Macaca fascicularis: one gene and its partner. The protein of the gene in region 1 interacts with the protein of each later gene in a biochemical or structural test. Links are inferred from orthologs where the notes say so. Each region holds a gene or a part of one and is shown in the gene's direction. Other genes may lie near its edges.

Evidence for each region. The genes of interacting proteins can lie anywhere in the genome.
Region 2: the proteins of GPRASP1 (region 1) and OPRD1 form a complex in vitro, tested with the Homo sapiens proteins (2 studies listed by BioGRID and IntAct). The link is inferred for Macaca fascicularis from reciprocal best matches to the Homo sapiens genes GPRASP1 and OPRD1.

The regions. Positions count from the first base shown.
Region 1 is NC_088395.1:109,044,990-109,048,734, forward strand, and holds the start of GPRASP1 (G-protein coupled receptor-associated sorting protein 1), read left to right. Parts: upstream 1-1,497; 5' UTR 1,498-1,822; intron 1,823-2,879; exon of another isoform or gene 2,880-3,119; intron 3,120-3,429; 5' UTR 3,430-3,475; intron 3,476-3,745. UniProt on the Homo sapiens protein: Modulates lysosomal sorting and functional down-regulation of a variety of G-protein coupled receptors. Targets receptors for degradation in lysosomes via its interaction with BECN2.
Region 2 is NC_088375.1:206,216,781-206,220,525, reverse strand, and holds the start of OPRD1 (delta-type opioid receptor), read left to right. Parts: upstream 1-1,430; 5' UTR 1,431-1,655; coding exon 1,656-1,882; intron 1,883-3,745. UniProt on the Homo sapiens protein: G-protein coupled receptor that functions as a receptor for endogenous enkephalins and for a subset of other opioids.

The DNA.
Region 1 (3,745 bases):
ACAGAAAAACTATCATCAGAGTGAACAGGTAACCTACAGAAGAGAAAATTTTTGCAGTCTATCTATCTGACAAAGGTCTAATATCCAGAATCTACAAGGAACTTAAATTTACAAGAACAAAACACCACCATTAAAAAGTGGGCAAAGGACATGAACAGACACTTCTCAAAAGAAGACATTTATGCGGCCAACAAACACATGGAAAAAAGCTCAACATCACTGATCATTAGAGAAATGCAAATCAAAATCACAATGAGATACCATCTCACACCGGTCAGAATGGCAATTATTAAAAAGTTAAGAAACAAGAGATGCTGGCAACGTTGCGCAGAAATGGGAACACTTTTACACTGTTGGTGGGAATGTGAATGAGTTCAACCATTGTGGAAGACGGTGTGGCAATTCCTCAAAGATCTAGAACCAGAAATACCATTTGACCCAGCAATCCCATTACTGGGCATATACCAAAGGAATATAAATCATTCTATTACAAAGATACATGCACACGTATATTCATTGCTACACTATTCACAATAGCAAAGACGTGGAATCAACCCAAATGCCCATCAATGATAGGATTAAGAAAATGTGGTACATATACACGATGAAATATCATGCAGCCATAATAAAGGATGAGATCATGTCCTCTGTAGGGACATGGATGGAGCTGGAAGCCATTATCCTCAGCAAACTAATGCAGCTACAGAAAAACAAATACTGCATGTTCTCACTTATAAGTGGAAGCTGAACAATGAGAACACATGGACACAGGGAGGGGAACAACACACACTGGGACCTGTCAGGGGGTGGGGTGGGGGGAGGGAAAGCCTTAGGAAAAATAGCTAATGCATGCCAGGCTTAATACCTAGGTCATAGGTTGATTGGTGCAGCAAGCCACTATGGCACACGTTTGCCTATTTAACAAACGTGCACATCCTGCACATGTATCCCAGAACTTAAAAAAAAAAAAAGAAAAGAAAACGAAAATTAAGGGCTGGGAGGGGGGACTCGAAGGAACACAAAGTTTGCGGAATCGATTAGTACGTATTCTCCTATCTTAGTCTTGACTCTCTTTGCCGACTTCCCTACCTTGGGCCCCACCCCGAGACCGCCCATTTCAGTGGGCCTCTGTGTTTGGAGAGATGAACTTCTAAAGACTGGAACACTTCCTCCTGTCGGCCAGAAGAGATTTCCTGACACCACAGCTGAAAACCAGTGTGCATTTCAGTTCAGGAAAGAACGGTAGGCTTGCTGCGGGGAGCTCCCGCAAAAGGGAAACTAATACAGAAACACTCTGGTATTTGTATGCCTCTCTTGTTCCAGCGCCGTTTTCCCTATATCCGGAACTCGCCCCTGCGCATTCCAATACCTGAAGCGGCCACAGGGTACAGGGCTCGGAGCCCGCCTACAGAAAGAGTCGCGGCGCTAGACAAAGCCTGATATCACTCCGCTTCCATAAGCCGGATCCCCATAAACTACGCTGTAGCTCCTCCCGCTGCCGATGTGGGTAACCCGGACGAGGAAGAACCTCGTCTGCGGAGGACAAGGTAGATGTTAAATGGTAACTACGCTCGAGGTTCTGAGGAGCCCTGGGAACAGGAAGGAGAAAAGAATACCAAAATTGACAACAGTTTGCCAATCGCAGTCTTTAATCTGATAAAGCGGTTATCTCGTCTTGAGTCCCAGGTGCCGGGTCAGTACCCATACACAGCCGCCGCCATTGCCTCGAGTCCTTGTGTCTGACTGTCTGTTCCTGCTGCTGTATGACACAGCACCTCGAGGCAAGGAAACAAGAAAACTACCTCTGATCCAAGCAGAGAAGGTCGGTGAGAAAGTGGGCATTGCTTGGGGGTGGATGTGGCTATCGGAGGTGAACACTGGTTACGCGACCTGGTCATGGGGGGCGGGCGGTGAGGAGAGAGAGACGGGTAATAGGAATGGCTCACAACAAGAAAAAAAAAATGATCTGCCTTTTGCTAGCTTGATTTCCATACACTCGGTCACCTCAGACCATGTTTGGGAAGAAAAAGGTTGCAGCTTCTAGCAGGGAAAAGACAGACTAGATAAGAGGAAGAGAGGGCTGCTTCCATAGGCGAGGACAGTTGTCTGGGGAGCCCTGAGAGAGAGAGAATGTAAAAAGAGGTTGTAAATGTTTGATAATCAAGGCTCTGTATTCGAAAAGGGCCTCATGTCTTGGTTACTGGTCTGACCGTTAATAGCCACGTCTGTCTCTCTCTGTCTTTCATTTGTTCTTTGGGTGTGTATGTGTAGATCTGTTCCTAAGTTTGCAGCACTCCATGTTTCTGTACAGATCTGTAGGGGACAGCAGACCACAAGGGGAGAGGAGAAGGAAAAGAAAATTGGCATGGTTTTTACAGAGTGGGCAGTACTTGGAGGCAGTACTTGGAGGTTGTAGATGGCTAAGATTACAGTAGGCAGGAGTGTAAGGGAGCCTCCAGAACTCTCTGCCAGCTTTCCTAACATGTCCTCCCTTACCCGCATTATGTTGCAGAAAATGATAGGCTTTGGGAGAGAGGAAGGAAACATAGGAACCCAGATAAAATATGGAAATAAATACTTTTCATTTTTTTCCCAGCCTCCGTGGTTTGTCTAGGCATTTCATCCCTGTTGACACCACTACTACTACCCTGTAGGGATGTTTGAGTTGTCTCTGTATAGGAATTGTCAGACTTTGAGAATAGAGCAGAGGGGCTTGAAGATTTAGGAGTGGGAGAAAAAGGGGAGATAGAAAATGTTTGCCGAACAGGTATCTGTATCCAGAAAGAATCTGTGCCCTGGGTGCTGGTCTCTACCAAAGACAACCTCAACTGTCTCCTGTGTCTTCATTTATTGGTCTCTGTTTTTGTGCATCCCTGTAGGTAGATCTGTCCACCGGTCTGTGGAACTGTCAGTTGTGAAGTTTTGTTAAATGGTCACCCAACTTAAAACTAGGAAATTACAAAGAAGAGAAAATTGCCCTGTATCTGTTAAGGTTGGTGTAAAGGTACAGGGACGGGAGCAACTTTGACTAGAGAATTCCATCTCTTCTGTTTTGTCATTTTACTAGTTATGCCCATCCACCCCACCCCCTGCTGCTGCTGATTTAGTTGGGAGTCTTGGTAAGTTGTGGGGATACAGAATACTAAGACCTGCCTTTCTCACTCTCCACTTGCTTGTCCTGCTCTCGTGCTTAAGCCTAGTCTAATCTGAATGAGGGACATTCTAGGGCAATCACTGAAGAGGAAGATGGTGGGCAATAGGGAGGAGAAGGAGAAGTAGCCCTGAAACAAAGCAGTGGGGGAGAGGGGACTAGGAGGAGGGAAACACTAGACAAAATGTATCTGGAAAGGCAAGAATCGGGGCCAGGGACCAAGGTCTGTCACCAGGAGATCAGTTTCCACATTCTCCTGTTTGTTTATTTGTCCATAGGTCTGCCTGTAGATCTGCTGTAGGGCTTGTCACCATTGGAAGCAAGGTAAGGAGGAGAAAGTTACTCCAGATCAGTGCAGGTTGGTATGAGTATGGGGATTGCCTGGGTAGACCTGTAGGATGGAGTGGTGGAGAGCTGCTTGGCTCTAGCAGGGGTCAAGAACCACTAAAGGGATTCCTCACCTTCTCCTCCAGTTTTCCTACTCCTTATGCTCCTGTTTGGTGACTGGAAAGAAGGTTGATAGCACTTGGAAGTGTAGGGAGTGGGTGAAATGAAGGGAGAGAGAGTTCGCTAATTACCTACCTCTCCCACCAA
Region 2 (3,745 bases), on another chromosome or scaffold:
TGAGCTTGGGAATTCTGGCTTTTTTTCCGGGAAAGGGTAGGAGCCTTGCACATAGATGGATGACTCAAGCTAGAGGGTGACGTGAGGGAGGGGTCTTTGTCCAGCCACACACAGAGCCAAGAGCATTGCCCCAGAGCCTAGAGCTCAGAACCCCTAATATTGTTCCACTTCAGTTCCCTTTGGGATCTTTATCATCCAAAAAGCATTTCTTGAGCACCTGCTGTGACCTCAGCCCTCTCCTGGATGCGGGGGTCAATCAGTCCCTTTAAGGAGGGAGACCAGTTCGGATAGGTGGGATAATCTGGTGCTGAGTCTCAGTCTTCTCATCTGTAACATGGGAACAATAATAACAGAAGCTACTCCAAAGTGTTGGCGCATGGATAAAGTGCTTATCACAGTGCCTGGAACAGAGTAATGCTTGGTAGAGAAAATATTCTGGAAAGGCTGGGCACCCCAAGGAGAAGGATGGCTCTAATCTGGAATGGTTAGGTCTTGGAAGGGGTGTGGCAAGGATGACTTAGCCAAGTGCCCCACTTCTATCGGCCCGCACTGCAGCCAGAGCGCTCCTTAAGGTCGTCTGCAAGAACCTGCCCACCACCTCATCGCCCCCTCACTTCCTGCCTTCTCCTCTTCCTGGTTTCCTTTCAGTCCCTCTGCTTCCTTTATCCGGAATCCTCTTCCCTTGTTTCTTCCTTAAGTTAGTTCCTCCTCAAACTTCACCCCTCCCCTCAAGCGTCGTTTCCCCAGGGAAGCTGTCCTGACCCCTGCGTTTTGCACACCCTGCCACTTTCTCAATTCGTACCTATATCTTAATGGCATTTTAGGATTGCTCTCTCTTTCCTGCACTGGGCTGTAAGCCCCAGGAAGCAGAGGCTGCATCTGGTTTTGTGTACTAGAGGGTCCCCCCAAACACTTGGCTTTTCTATTAGGCACCTTCAAAATTTTTGTTGAGCGAATGAATGGGATGCAAGAAAGGCACGGATAATACGGGTGATTTACGGAGCATGTAACTGTGCGCAGGGCACTGCGCTACGCTCTTTGTTCGAATCATTTTATTCAGTCTCCCCAATCACCCTCTGAGGGCGGTGGTACGATTTTCCTCATCTCACAAAGAGAATGAAGCTGAGGGAGGTTAAATGACTTACACAAGGTCACTCCGCCGGTTAGTGCAGGGGCGGGAGGCGGGATCCACACCCAGGTCCCTCTGACACCAAAGTAGCAAGGGGGTGAGAGGGGAGTCCAGGCTGGGACGGGGGCGCACCCGAGCCGGCGGAGCATCCCTAGGGAGGGGGCGGGAGGCCTCCCCTGCCCAGCTCCGAGCCAGTGGTGCAGCGCCCGCCCCCGGTCGCGGGCGCAGACTGGCGGCCGCCTCCGGGCCACGTGGTGCGCGCGGCGGGCGCGTCCGAGGAGCCTGCGGCTGCTCCTGGCTCACAGCGCTCCGGGCGAGGAGAGCGGGTGGACGTCGGGGGCTGGGCCGGTGCGGGTGCGAGGCAGGCGGAGGAGGCGCAGAGACAGCGGGGCGGCCGGGACGCGGCAGCCGGCGGCGTCGGGGCCGCGGCCTCTACCTTCCCGCTCCCTTGGTGTCGGATCCCCGCGCCCAGGGCGCACGGTGGAGAGGGACGCGGCGGAGCCGGCCGGCGGGGCGGCCGGCAACCATGGAACCGGCCCCCTCCGCCGGCGCCGCGCTGCAGCCCCCGCTCTTCGCCAACGCCTCGGACGCCTACCCTAGCGCCTTCCCCAACGCTGGCGCCAATGCGTCGGGGCCGCCGGGTGCGCGGAGCGCCTCGTCCCTCGCCCTGGCAATCGCCATCACTGCGCTCTACTCGGCCGTGTGCGCCGTGGGGCTGCTGGGCAACGTGCTCGTCATGTTCGGCATCGTACGGTGAGTCCGCTGCGGGCCGGCACCGCAGGGATAGGGCCCGGGGGGAGGGTGGGGATCACGAACTTGGGACCCCAAGCCCGGACCCTGGACTCCCTGCGCCTCCGCACTTCCAGCAGGGGCACCTGGGGCCCAGCGAGAGGTGAGGCCACTTACATCGAGGGGGACACAGGAATGTGTGTCATCGTGTGTGTGTGTGTGTGTGTGTGTGTGCGCGCGCGCGTGTATGTGTGTGTGTGGTGGAGGGGGTTGCGCCGCAGTTGAGTAAATTACATTTGATTATCTGTTGGCATTCCCTTGTTTCTTTGTGGGACAGTTTGGCGTCAGTTTGTGTATCTGTCACAGTTTGTGATTGGATGGTTGTGACAGTACAACTGTATGTTTGGACGTCGGAAACATGCCCATGGGGTGGGCAGAGCTGCTCTGAGGTGCCGCGGGCCTTTGGGGAGACCGGTGTGAGGGCACCGTGCGGGCAGGGCAGACAGGAGGGTGCTGGGTGTCAGCACCTCGCCGTGGGGCCCTTACCGAGTCATATTTGGTGCTCATCTGTTGGTGTGTGCTTGTCCCTAACGGTCAGTTTGTGATTCTGTCTGAGTGTAACAATGTGACTGTTGTTCTTGTCAAGCCCCTGAAACCCCGAGGGCAGCAGAGCGTCCAGAGTGGCCGCACCTGTGTTTGTGCAGCTGTGTGTGCCTTTGTCAGTGATTTCCTGGATACCATGGGCGACAGCTATGGGTCGCCAACCGGTTCTCTGTTCCCTTCCCCAGTGGCCATCTGGTCAGGAATTCTGAATAGGATTCAGAGAAGCCTCACGCCATCCTCACAAATGCCGCCTCCCATTTTCTCTTTGCCTCCTCTAACAGTCTTTTCTTCTGCCAAAGGCAGCAGAGGTTTGTCTGGGCTGGAGTGGATTTTGGGTTTTCATCCCAGGAAGTGAGGTGCTCTTCTTGGAGTTTATGGAGAGTGCGGGGACCTTCTCAGAGCGCCTAAGACGTCAGCTTGCCCCAGAAGTAGCCCTCCTGATACAGCCCATAAGCTCAGACGTGGCCAATAAGGGTTGAGAGGAAAACTTCCATCCTTAAAACAACAAAGATGCCCTGGTATTTACTGTTAGTTGAAAATGGGTCCTCCATGCTGGACCGAGGACATGGCCCTAAACCTCTCTGGGCTGTGATGCCACCGTGCAGGGCATAGGTCAGATCGTGGACTCAGAGGTTGGAGAGATGAACTGTAGTCTCAGCCCAGTCATGGATGCCCAGGCACCATTCTTCCTGCCCCGCCTCCCATCCGCCTCAGTTTCCCTGTCCGAAGAATAGAGACCCAATCTCCTCAATTGGAAAGTATGAATTCCAGGGTATGGGGTGTCTGCAGGGCAGAACACGGTGTGTTGGAGCGTGGGATGAGGTGTGCGGGTGTCAGTGGGCTTCGGCATTGATGATCTCTGGGGGATCTTTGCTCCTGCAGAAAGAGTGGCGGGTACAATAATTTCCTGTGCTTTCCATGACTCATCACAAGCAACAGGGAGAGAATCCCCCCGCCCCCCAGCACAGGCGGAACTGATCTTTGCTTTGTGTCTTTGTCAGTGATTCTCCCCACTTCACAGGCTTAGAGGCAGGCCGGCCTGGGTATGAATCCCTGCTCTGCCACGAACTGGCTCTGTGACTTGGGCGAATCACTTCGCCTCTTCGAGCTGCAGTTTCTTCATCTGTAGAATGAAGTAATGATAAATCTTCTTCCACAGCGTTGTTGTGAGGTGTCAGTGAGAGAGCACATAACGCACTGGCCTGGCGCCTGGACCCAGTGAATGGACGCTGTCTGTATAGCGAGGATTCTAGATCCTGGAGAATCCAACTAAAGAAGGGAGCT